2 linked regions of the Caenorhabditis elegans genome follow. The protein of the gene in region 1 purifies or fractionates together with the protein of each later gene. This does not show direct contact. Each region holds a gene or a part of one and is shown in the gene's direction. Other genes may lie near its edges. The genes, in order: F54F2.9 and C01G10.1.

Region 1 (4,657 bases):
TCACAAGCCGAACCACATCAATTGGGAAGTATTTTCAGAGAAGAGAGACGTCGACGAGAGAGAAATGAATCTCCAAAGTAAGATTTCAACTTTAATCGATATTTCTCCAGAATACGGAAACTCAAATAATTTTCATATTTCAAAAAATCACACTTTTTGAAGTTAGACAATTATTTGTTTATAAAAGATTATTGTTTTTTCTTTTTGGTATCGAAGCGATCGATTTTATTCAATTCAAACAAGCTTTTAGGTGATTTTTCATAGTTTTTCGATTGAAAAATATTTCATTTTTTGAAAATATGAGAAAAAGCAATAAAAACAAATAAATTTCAAGTTAAATTCAGTGGAAATGAGAAGAAGTTGTAAACTACAGTACTCCTTAAAGGCGCACACACTTTTGCATTTTTGAAAATCGGTCACTTCAAGACCAGACAGCGTATTTTTAATGAAAATCGCAAAATTTCGAGTTTAGGTGGTAAGTTATAATAATTGTCAAGTGAGAAAAACTACTATCTCCATGAACATATCATGTTAAAGTTTTAAAATCCAGTTTGAAGATAGTTTATAACCTGTTTTTCGTTAAGACTTCCACCTCCTCCTCCACCACCACCGTCGGATCCCCCAGTTGACACAAGCATCCCATTCGACGTGAGCACTTTGAACGAACCAACTAAAAAATGGCTGGAAGAGAAGATTGTTGAGCAGGTAATTAATTTCTTTCCAATTTTGTCGTTTTAAAAGCATATGGTTCAGGTATCGGCTCGTGTACATCAACTGGAAGCAATGATGGCTGAAAAAGCGACATCGGCAAGAAATGAGATGGAAAAGATGTTGAGAGCTCAAATCGAAGCAGAAATGGCAGTAGAATTGGCGGAATGCAAGAAACGGGATGTTAGTTTTTTTTCTACTTTATAAAACATTTCCTCTCCTCTACAAAGGTTAATGTTACCAGTTTTCAGGAAGAATCTCGTAAAAAGTGCAAACAATTGGAAGCAGAACTAGAAAGAAAAGTTCTGGAAGCTGAAGAAAGTCGCAAGAAATTTGTAAGTTGTCTCCTCCAACTTCAAGAATGCAAATATTCCAATTATACGAAAGATCTACGAAATCTGCCGGATTCTATTCATTTTTCTACATCTTTTCAGCAGCTTATAAGATATCAAATATCTATTTCTCGTCTTGAACATTTTTCTTAATTTTTCTCTCTTTTTCTCCTCAATTAATTCCATTTCCTCTTTGATTTATACAATTTTGTGTGCCAACAAACGAAAGGACATGTCGTCGCTGATGATTCGGCCCCCCGTCTAGCAGGTATTTGTGCAAGGATATCATCTTCATCTTCAACGCGAGTCACAATCAATTTTAGATTTTATTAGTTTAAATTAAATCAAATTTCCGCACTTCGACCTAATTTAACAGTTATTCATTTCAGGAGGAAGATCGTTTGGCAATGCTTGAGCAAAAGAGCCAATTGGAACGAGATCGTGCTGAACTTGCACGTCAGAAATCGGACATGAAAAAGAATGAGCAGCAGGCGATATTGAACAAATCAGGCAACTCTCGGGCTCCGATTAAATTCAAATTTGGGAAATGAGCACAAGATGAACAAATCGCCTGTGCACCTGACTTTACCTCGCCGATCTCTTCACTCACTTCTTTCAGAGTTTATTATTTTTTGTTTAATGAAGCCACTTTAAAATTTAATTGTCTTCGCTTCAAAATTTCGTAAAACCAAATAAAAAACTTTGTTATTTATTATTTTTTGTTGGTCCAATAATAAAAATGTATACGTAAATCGTTTAAATCTCTAATTTTTATAGATTAAAAAAATTTGGTTGAATTTTCTGAAATATTTATTGCAGAATGCGGGTCATCCTTCTCCTTGCCTTCCTAATATCCTTAACAGAATGTCAATGGACATCAGAAGATTTGGCTCTATATGATTTAGTGGAAGAAGTCGGAGTTAATTTCTACGAGTGGTTCGATATTCCACGAGATGCCTCGTCGAATCAAGTAAAGAAAGCATATCGAAAATTGACACTTGAATGGCATCCGGATAGGAATTCTGCGCCTGATGCTACGGAAAAGTTTCGTCAAGTTGCTGGAATCTATGAAGTTTTGAAGACTACAGAACTTCGTGAAAAATATGATAATGTTCTGGAAAATGGGTTACCTTCGTGGAGGCATCCTATGTATTACTATAGGTGAGGGAATTCACATAGTGGTTTTTATTTTTGAAAATTGGAAAAAAAATGTACAGAAAAATACGAGAAAACTACATAAGATTGTTATTGTTTTTCTTAAAAAATTATGCTTTTTGACTGTAAATATATTCTTAAAATTTGAATGAGTTTTCCAATTAATCATATAAATAGTTTAAAAAAATCCCCATTGCTATTATACGTTTTGCGATGGTTTCAAAAAAAAAGTAACTAGGTTTGCCCAATAAAAGTTGCGTGACAATCTTAAATCTGATCAAATTCAGAAATAAAATGCAATGTGTTAGTCTTAAAAATTGGCAGAAATACCAAAATATTTTCCTTCCCATTCCACCATATTCCATATCACATGGTTAACTGAAATAATTCGGATTTTTTTAAAATAGTGTTTTATAAATAATTTTTTCCAGACGAATGCGAAAACTTGCATGGTATGAAGGAATCCTTGTGCTTCTTTTTATCGGAACTATCGCTCATTACCTGATGATGTGGGCGGCATATTTCGAGAAAACTCTTGTCTACAAACAAAATGTGAAAAAATCGCGAAAATCGAAAAAAGAAGATCCAGCGGAAGCAGAAAAATTGATGAAACAAGCACTTGAAGAGTATCTTCCAAAATATTCAGAACTTCTTCCAATTATTCTTGCTAGAGGTACAGTAACCCTCTTCAAAAACTTGGCATTGACTGCTAAAGATGCTATGACACCTAAAGAAGTTGAACCTGAAGAACCAACAGAAGAGGAGTTGGCTCAACAGAGAAGGCAACAAAGAGCAGCAGCGGCACCCCAGCAACTAGAGTTTAAATTTGAAGTGGCTCAAGGTATGAAAGCAGTTTCCACAAATGATCCTGAGATGGAGAAAAAGTATGCAGCAGAAAATGAAGTTGTAGCACAGAGTAAGTTAATTTATCAGAAAAAAGGTTTCTGAACTCTACTCAATGATCTTTTAATTTCAGAACAATCTGGAGCAACATGGACGCCTGATGAATTAGCTAGTCTGGTTCGACTGAGCACTGAAAAATACCCGGCTGGAACACCGAATCGTTGGGAACAAATGGGTCGAGTTTTGAATAGAAGTGCAGAAGACGTTATTGCAATGGCTGGAAAAATGAAACAGATGAAGCAAGAGGATTATACGAAATTGTTGATGACAACTATTCAACAATCAGTACCAGTTGAAGAGAAATCAGAAGATGATTGGAGTCAAGCTGAGCAGAAGGCTTTTGAAACCGCATTGCAGAAATATCCAAAGGGAACTGATGAAAGGTTAGCTTGGAAACTAGAAATGGGTATTTTGAAATTGAGAACGCTCATCCTCCAAGCGTTGGGTTTCGTTAGGTATTGACGGTAAAATTTCTGGGTCCCCATAATATAATATCCAGAGGAATGTTTTAAATATTAAATTTCAGGTGGGAAAGAATCTCCGAAGAAATTGGAAGCAAAACGAAGAAACAAGTGATGGTCAGATTCAAGCAATTGGCTGAGATGATTCGAAAAAAGAAAACCAATGATACCTAGTTTTGTCATAATATTTATTCCGTTTTTTTGTTGGTCGGGTTTGATGAAATTCCAAAATTTATTGTTTTAGACGCGTTTTAAATATTTATTTATTTATTAAATTTTTATTAATAAATTGATGATAATAAAAGAAAAAACATCAAAAATATCGACTAGAAACATGTCAATGTATTGGTAATTAATTGGAAAACAAAGAAACATAATATGAACATATAAAGCACCAAATTGAGCGGAGATTCCGAAAAACGATCGAACATGAAAGTAAGATTGGGGGGCAAGGCACGACAAGAGGACTAAATTGGGACCAAAATGATAATTTTAAAAAGACACCCGCAGATGTGAATAGTAAAGAATAAGGAACAAAAAATGGAAAATATTATAGCATTTGTCCGTGACGTCCCTGATTGTACTGATCTTGTGATGTATAACGGGATTGACTATCAGCGTATTGAGCATTTGGTTGACGGTCGGCACGGAGTTCTGCATGCTCAGTTGGTGGACGATTACGTTTGAAGAAACCACACTGAAAATTAGATTATTATTATTTATTTTCTGAGGGAAACTGTAAATTTGTTTCGAAATTGGTTGTATACTGTAGTCGCTCTGATCTACCTATATTCTACAGTACCCCCGACGTAAGCTCGCCGTGGACGTTGCTGTGAAATTTTCGAAAGCGTGTGAGCACAGCTTTAATGTCGTAGGCAACTTCTTTTAAATTCAGTTTTTCTTAATCTTTGTGACAATCATTTTTTACCTTTCGAAAATGGCAGAGTTTGAACCATAAACTTTTCTCGCGGCGAGGCCCATCCGAATAAATCAATGAGGCTTTGAGAAACCGCTTCACAAAATTGGAAATTAAGATATAATTTTTGCTGCGTCACAAGTAAGCATGAAAGTTGGCGAAAGAACTTTAATTTAACTTGC
Region 2 (7,140 bases), on another chromosome or scaffold:
TCCAGAGAGCTTAATGTAAGTTTTTTTAGGGGTTTAGAGTATGATTCGAAAAAGAGGCAAACGTTTTTTGACGTTTTATTTAAAATTTGGAAAAAAAAACATAAAAATGAAGGCTTTCAAAATTAACTTCAGAGGTACATATATCATAAGCATCTTTTCTAACTTTCAGAAATGAATTCTTAAATTAAAACGAAATTTCTCAGGAAGATATTTTATTGGGAAGACATTCTTATTAGGCATCATATTGGATTTTATTGCTCATGTTTTAATTTTTTCTTCTTCTGTTTTCAGTGGGTACTCATTTTACTCTCCAGCTGTTGAAAGCATTCTTGTGACGTTTGGTACGAATATGCTAGTTTTCAACGAATTTCAAAGTGTCTACTTATCCTTCAATCGATTTTTCGTTATGCTATTTCCTTTAAAATTTAGTTGGCTATGGGGTTTGAAACTGACATTGGTATTGCATATTCTTTATTATATAAACCGCATCTGGAATGTGGCTACGGAACACTTGAGTAGAAGTGGTACTGATTTCATGGTTACGTTTAAAACCATTTTTTTGTAATTTCAGAAAATTCAAATTTTATGCTTTTTTCCAATGAGCATTTGGCGTATATCGGGCTTTTGTCTACACCTGAGCATATGCAATTATGGGCTGTTGCTTTAATTGTTTTCCCACTTTCAATAAACGCAGTCACATACATTCTGTTTCATTATATGGTAGGGAATGTTTTTAGAATATTTTCTTAGAACTATAAAACAAATTTGGCTCTATGTTTCAGAAGAAAAAGACAATCCGCGGATCTCAACACCGGAGAAAAGCACGGAAAAATGTGTTACAGTTTCTTCAGACTCGTTTGTTTTCTTCAAGACTCGTTGTTTTCAATCACGGTCTTGTTTTCTCAGCTCGAGTAAGTCACTGGAACAATTTCAGCTTCAACTCAAAATATAACTTCAATTCCAGTAACCTTTTTGATCATAGAATCTGGACATTCTTCTGCCAAACATTTGTGTTGCAATTCGTTCATGTTCTTGATGGGTGAGTGGATTCAGACACAGTTAATTCGTAGATCGGGCACAATGTATTACGATCAGCAGTGTAAATCGGGCACAAGATCAGATTTTCAAGCTTTTCAAGCTTTCAAGAACATTTTTTAAAGTAGTTTTTCCGAACTATTATATATGTAAAACTTTTTTTTTTGAAACATTTTTAAGGCGTCAAGCAAAAAGTCAAGCTTTCAAGCGTTTACATTACCTGCGAGCCGTGGGTTTTCAAATTTTCGTACACATTCACTGTATTTTTTTAAATCAACATATGGAAAATGTTGACGCGGCTGGCATTTTATGGGTCTGTTAGGTATTTTTCAAAAATTGTTCTACAGAATCTGAGCCGCTACAGGTTCCAAAAAATTTTCACATGTAGCTGAAATTCGAGTTAGTAATGAATATGAATTTAGATTCATTATGATGATGTTCAACAATCGACTGTCCCCAATGAAAAATAAAGTTCTCCGGAAAGTGAGCCCATTGGAGTCTATTGCTGTGAAGTGTGATGACAGAAGAGCTATTTCTAATCTACCACCACCATCTACAAGATCATAAAACCAGCAATTAATCTATTCATGTAATTGATTTCAACATTTCCCTTACTCTGTATTTTCGTTAATTTTTAATAATTAAAAACCAATGAAAACCAAAACCTTCAAAAAAGGAAAACTATTATATTCAAAAAGTTTATTGAAAAACAAAAAGAAAAATGCATGAACAACATAAAACAAATTTCGATTTATTTTTATTACGTGAACCTCCAATTCGTTTGTTTCAACATTTTTATCTGATAATCAAATCTGCTCAAATCAATCATTGCTCAGGCGGAAGACCATATCTTCTCGCAAAATCTATTCATTGTCTACAGTCTTTAAAAATAAGCATCTTTCGGTAAGTCGTTTTTCATACTTTCAGGCTGTAACGGCAGTATTTCAGATAAAAAGTATTGCAATTGTGGACTTATGATTACTTATTATTTTGGCATCGGAATTCTAGGAGCATTTCTAGTTACAGCCGGAAGTGGTGAGTTGGAAGAGGGAAATAGCTCGCGCGTAAACTATTATTAAGGGTTTATAAACTAATACTTTGTTCATTTTTGAAAGAGTCGATTTTTATCTTAAGAGTGTCTTCTTGCATTGCTTTAATTTGAAAAAAAGCCAACATGTAAATACGAAATCCATGTAGCAAAAAAACGAAATATAAAATACTAAAAGTAGAAGAACTTACGTGAAAATTCAGAATAATGAGTGAAAAGTGTCATTAACACACGTGGCTGTTAGTTTTGAATTTTCCACAGTCTTTACCCACACCTACATGCCTGCCTACTCGCCTACATGTATCTCTTCCACAACGGAAACCATTTTTCAGCCCCGTCAAATCTCCAACTCATCAGCGAAGACTTCCGTATCCTATCTCGTGTGACCAATGCGATTTCCCTCCAAGCAGGTGCTATCAGGAAGAATATCAAAGTTCGTGATCTACTGGTAGAGCTGATTCGGATGCCAAGAGACCAGTTCAACAACATCATAGATGTCGACATCAAAGTGGCACGTACGGAGTTGAATAGAATGGGTGAAGAATTCGAGAAGTTGTCTCTATTGCTTCAAAATGATACGAATAGTCTGGTTGGTGATAACATGACCGATTTGAAAAACAATTTGAAGTTTCTATCACTCTTTTCTCAACAAACGTCTACCTTCTTGGATGCCATCAAGTACCCTATCAAGAACCTAATGAACAATCTAACGACAATAATTGCAAACAACTCGATGTTCAGGAGTAGTTGCTCACAAGTGGATACGGATAATTTCAAAAGTTTTTGGGACTCTATCAACAACGAATTGTCGGAATACGCCACAAATGATTTCCCGGGCTTCGCTGATACATTTGTCGCTAACAAACCAAATTTTTCCGACTGCCTAAACTATTTCCCACAGTTGCAGGCTGAGCTTGATGCTTTACCGATATGGGGTGGACTTGAAATGATTAGAAAATGGGAAGATATTATACGGTTGGTTGCAAAATTTGATGCATTAAGCGACTCATTGCGAGCTACAAATGCAACGCTTTTCCGGGTTCTTTCAAGTCTGAAAGCGACAAAATCTTTATGGAAGAGTGTACATCCTAATTACCATGCCCAGGTTATGACTCAACTCAACCGTTCTCTGTTTGAAATCATTAAACATCACATTGCGCCAACAAAACCAGTTCTAAAATACAGTGCGGGCTTCAGAAGCTCAAGAGATTTCTCTAAAATCTCCAAGGATTTGAGTAGCCCTTGGTTCAGAAGAAATATTGCTAAAGAATCGAAAACAAAGGACCTGAACCATGCACTAAAGATATTCCATGACATTTCGGAAGCCGTCACTTCACTCGATACTTCTTGGCACAATTTCACTGCTCTCACCTTGGATTTTGAGTCCTCAGAAGTTGCAAAAGCAGGACCTATTCTTGACGTTATTTCGAAAATGTCCCTTAACTTTGCAAATTATGAGTCAATTATTCAAAACGCGAGTAACAAATTATCGGAGTGCTTTTCGAATTTTTCTGTTACTTCTTTGGAGACACCCAACTCTTCCCTTCAGGAAATGATTCAAGACTTTCAACAAGCTATATCACCAGCTACAAATTATATGAAATATTTGGCCCAAATCAGAAAACAGGTCTCGTATATCAATATAAACTCAATCTTAACCATACGCCCCAACCGCACCATAAAATCGTTTTTTGACGAATACTACAAGAAGCTAAGCAATGAAATCGAAAAACAAAAAGTGAACAAAACCAATTCGTTGAGGGTGAAGACTCGTCTCAAAATCATCATTGATCAGATAGATAAAAGGGAGGTTGATTTTCACAACTTCATGACACATCTTTCACAAAACTTAAAAAATATTAAAGTGATCACAAATAAATCTTTACCAAACGACACTAAAATAGACAAACTGCTTGTCGAAATGTTGGACACGTCACAATTGAGGGGAATATCGAAATGTTTGAGGTTAATATTATTATGTCTATGCCCAAAAAATATTTAAAAATTGCAGTCAAGAGTTCATGCAACCGCTTCGAGTATTGGAGGTAATTGAAGCAATGATTACTGTTCGACAGTTTGCTGGAAATAAGACGGTGCTGAAAATGAACCAGTACCTCGATGAGCTAGCCAAGGTTAGTAAATAATAACTTCATTGCTTTTATTTATAAATTTCAGGTTAAGAACCAACTTTGGAAAGTGGAAAAACAAATCAAGTTGATCACATCTCAGTCGAATTCCAGTCACAATCTTGTTCTGAAATTGAAGACCCCTGAACTTTTTACTGCGAGTCTCGGAACATGTGCGCACGTGTTAGAAGATCTTGAAGAAGCACGACAAAATCACCAGCTTCTTTCGAATTACCCAGATTTCCCTGTACAAGTTTTGAAGACAATTTCGGGAATGGGACTCCGTGAATGGCTGGATCCGGAGCAAAAACTCCAAGTAATGCTCCAAAAGATTGATGCTCTTGATGCAAAATCAAAGATGTTGAGGAAAAATGGGAATTTATCAGAGATGGTCAAAGTGTTCGATGATGCCTCAAAAATCAATGGTATCCGTGGAGATCCTAAGGATTTATATAGACTATTCAGTAAGTAGTTAAAATGGAAAAAAAAATAGTTTTTAGAATTCTTACCGAGTAAAAAACATTGAACTTTCAGGATTATTGAAGAAGTCTAGCAAGCTGGAGAAGCAAGAAGCTGCAAAGTATTTCGAGTCTATAAAAAACTTGGATCTAGATTTCGCACGGCACGAGGCTATACTCAAAGGAGCTGAAATCACAATTTCTTCCTTGATGACCTATTTTGATGAGATATTTGGCAACAAGAAGCTTGATATCGTTACAATTGCGGTTGATAATCAACTTTCTTGGATATACATCATTATTATTTGCATTGGTGTGATGATATTGATTGGTCTCATTTGTATTGTTGCCTACGGGTTTACTCAAAATGGAAGGTCAAAGTATACAAATTTGTATTTATATTATGTTGGAAAACCAGTTCATTATGAGAACAGGTGGAGATATTCTGTAAGCTTCTCATGTTAAATCTACATTTTTTGAATCAACATTTTCCAGCTTTTCCTTGACAATCAGGATGGAAAGAACACCTTGTTGGATGCAGTACGGGAAATTAACAAAACAAATGCGGTGAATGCTGTAAAGGCAGGATCCTACATAAATGCATTTAACAGTAAGATTCAAGAAGATCTAATTTAGACGAAAAAGCTATATTCAGAGTTCGGAAATACCGCTCTGCACACTGCAACCAAGTCCGCTCTACCTGAAATTGTAAAGCTTCTCATTAAAAATGGAGCTGATCGGGAACTGCTGAATACGATGAATCGAACTCCGGAGCAGATGATCCCACTCGTATATAAAGACATTCCAAAGGACAAGGTTGAAAATTTTGACAAGATTCGAGCATTGTACAAAAAAGCAAATGGGAAGAAGCACAAAATGAGTAAGCATCAAATGTCTTGTGATAAGCTAAATAAAATTGAAAATTTTGAGATGTTCCACAGAAGTTTCCAACCACATCATTTCATATTTGGATAGACGAAAGAACCGACATCAACATAACCAACCAATTTATGGAGAAGTTTCAAGCTATTGTGAGTTATTCTTTGCACCAAAAACTTCTTATTTAAATCATATTTCAGACATCTGATGAAGCTAATTCAAACACTACACATGTCATTGTGAAGACAGATGAGAACGGAGCTCTGGAAACTGATAGTCTCGATCTACTACTTTGGGTATTCAATGGTGCGATTATTGTCAAAGAACAGTGGATGGTGGATTGTTTGGAAAATGAGACAGTTATCGAACAGGATTCAAAATATTTGGTGGAAAAAGTTAAATACAAGGGATCATATTACAATACAGTTCTTCAATGGAGTGAAGCCATGGCAAAAGGAGCCATTCCATATTTGTATGGAGTATACTCAGCGGTTGTCATGGTGGAATGCAAGAATTGTGAGCAATTTCGATTCAATCCTTTGAAGGTCATTTTATAATTTTTCAGTGCTGAAATTGAATTCACTTGTCGCAATCCACGGTGGTGTCATGATGGAAGTTTTTCCAAGAAAGGAGCTCTTCAATGTTGGATCTCACCCATACAACCATGCAAATCTTGGACCTTTGTTTTTGATTCACGATGGAAAGGTTTGTATTTTGACCGTTTAACTGTGAAACAATTTTTTTCAGATAAACTTGAGCGTCTACAAATCTGATCCGGACAAGATGTACACACTGTTCACTGAAGAAGAATTCATAAAGTTTATGCTCAAACGAGATATTGTCAAAGATATTAGTGAAACTCCGATTAGTGTTCTGAAAGATGAGAAATAAAGATTCTTTATTGATATTACTGCAGTTGTTTATTGATATTACTGCAGTTGTTTATTGATATTACTGCAGTTGTTGCAGGCACATCTTTAGGCCCAGTTTTTTCTAGCTATGTGGTCCACTCATTATGGAAATTAAAACATGAACACAGTTTCTCCACGAGAAGATCGTAACTGTACATGCATAAATATTATTTTCAGAATTTTTTCTGCTTGAATTTTGCTATCTATTTGAAAACGAGAATTTATTCAAGATTTATTAAGAGCAATCAAGAAAATAGAAAACAAATTGAAGCAGCCAAATACAAATTCAGAACTTAGGTTCCATGAGTTATTTGTCAGATTGTAAAATTATTTGTAGAAAGATGAGGAGCTACAGAGACGTTGTCAGCAGCTGTCCTGTTTATCGGATTGAAAAACTTCAGAACATCTGAAAAAAAAACATTTAACAAGATTTTCAGTTCTAGTATACCTTTTAAGGCTCTTCTGTAGTCTGTGATGACGTACATCAGAATACATGCGTCTAATGCTGGATAAAGCGCGAATATACCCAAAAATATTCCAGTAGGCATACTAAATTTCAGATTTTAAAAAATAGAAGCTACCTGAAGCAACAGAGTTTTGAATATTTGGAGATGCAATTTTCGAACTTCTCCCGATAAGAGGCTTAGTTTCTCTTCCATATCGTGATACAATTGGTAGCTGCA

What was found.
Region 2: the proteins of F54F2.9 (region 1) and C01G10.1 fractionate together in Caenorhabditis elegans (co-fractionation; one large-scale study listed by BioGRID). This does not show direct contact.

Annotation. Positions count from the first base shown.
Region 1 is NC_003281.10:8,824,431-8,829,087, reverse strand, and holds F54F2.9 (DnaJ homolog subfamily C member 1), read left to right. Parts: upstream 1-1,859; 5' UTR 1,860-1,860; coding exon 1,861-2,201; intron 2,202-2,626; coding exon 2,627-3,111; intron 3,112-3,171; coding exon 3,172-3,481; intron 3,482-3,624; coding exon 3,625-3,733; 3' UTR 3,734-3,862; downstream 3,863-4,657. Other genes in the region: F44E2.3 (uncharacterized protein), read left to right, coding at 1-77, 585-705, 754-891, 960-1,043, 1,430-1,591; Integrin alpha pat-2, read right to left, coding at 4,110-4,256.
Region 2 is NC_003283.11:15,097,953-15,105,092, forward strand, and holds C01G10.1 (BRCT domain-containing protein), read left to right. Parts: upstream 1-1,794; 5' UTR 1,795-1,938; intron 1,939-1,983; 5' UTR 1,984-2,009; coding exon 2,010-2,070; intron 2,071-2,415; coding exon 2,416-4,048; intron 4,049-4,094; coding exon 4,095-4,215; intron 4,216-4,258; coding exon 4,259-4,673; intron 4,674-4,743; coding exon 4,744-5,114; intron 5,115-5,162; coding exon 5,163-5,277; intron 5,278-5,322; coding exon 5,323-5,547; intron 5,548-5,597; coding exon 5,598-5,698; intron 5,699-5,746; coding exon 5,747-6,062; intron 6,063-6,111; coding exon 6,112-6,251; intron 6,252-6,293; coding exon 6,294-6,437; 3' UTR 6,438-6,453; downstream 6,454-7,140.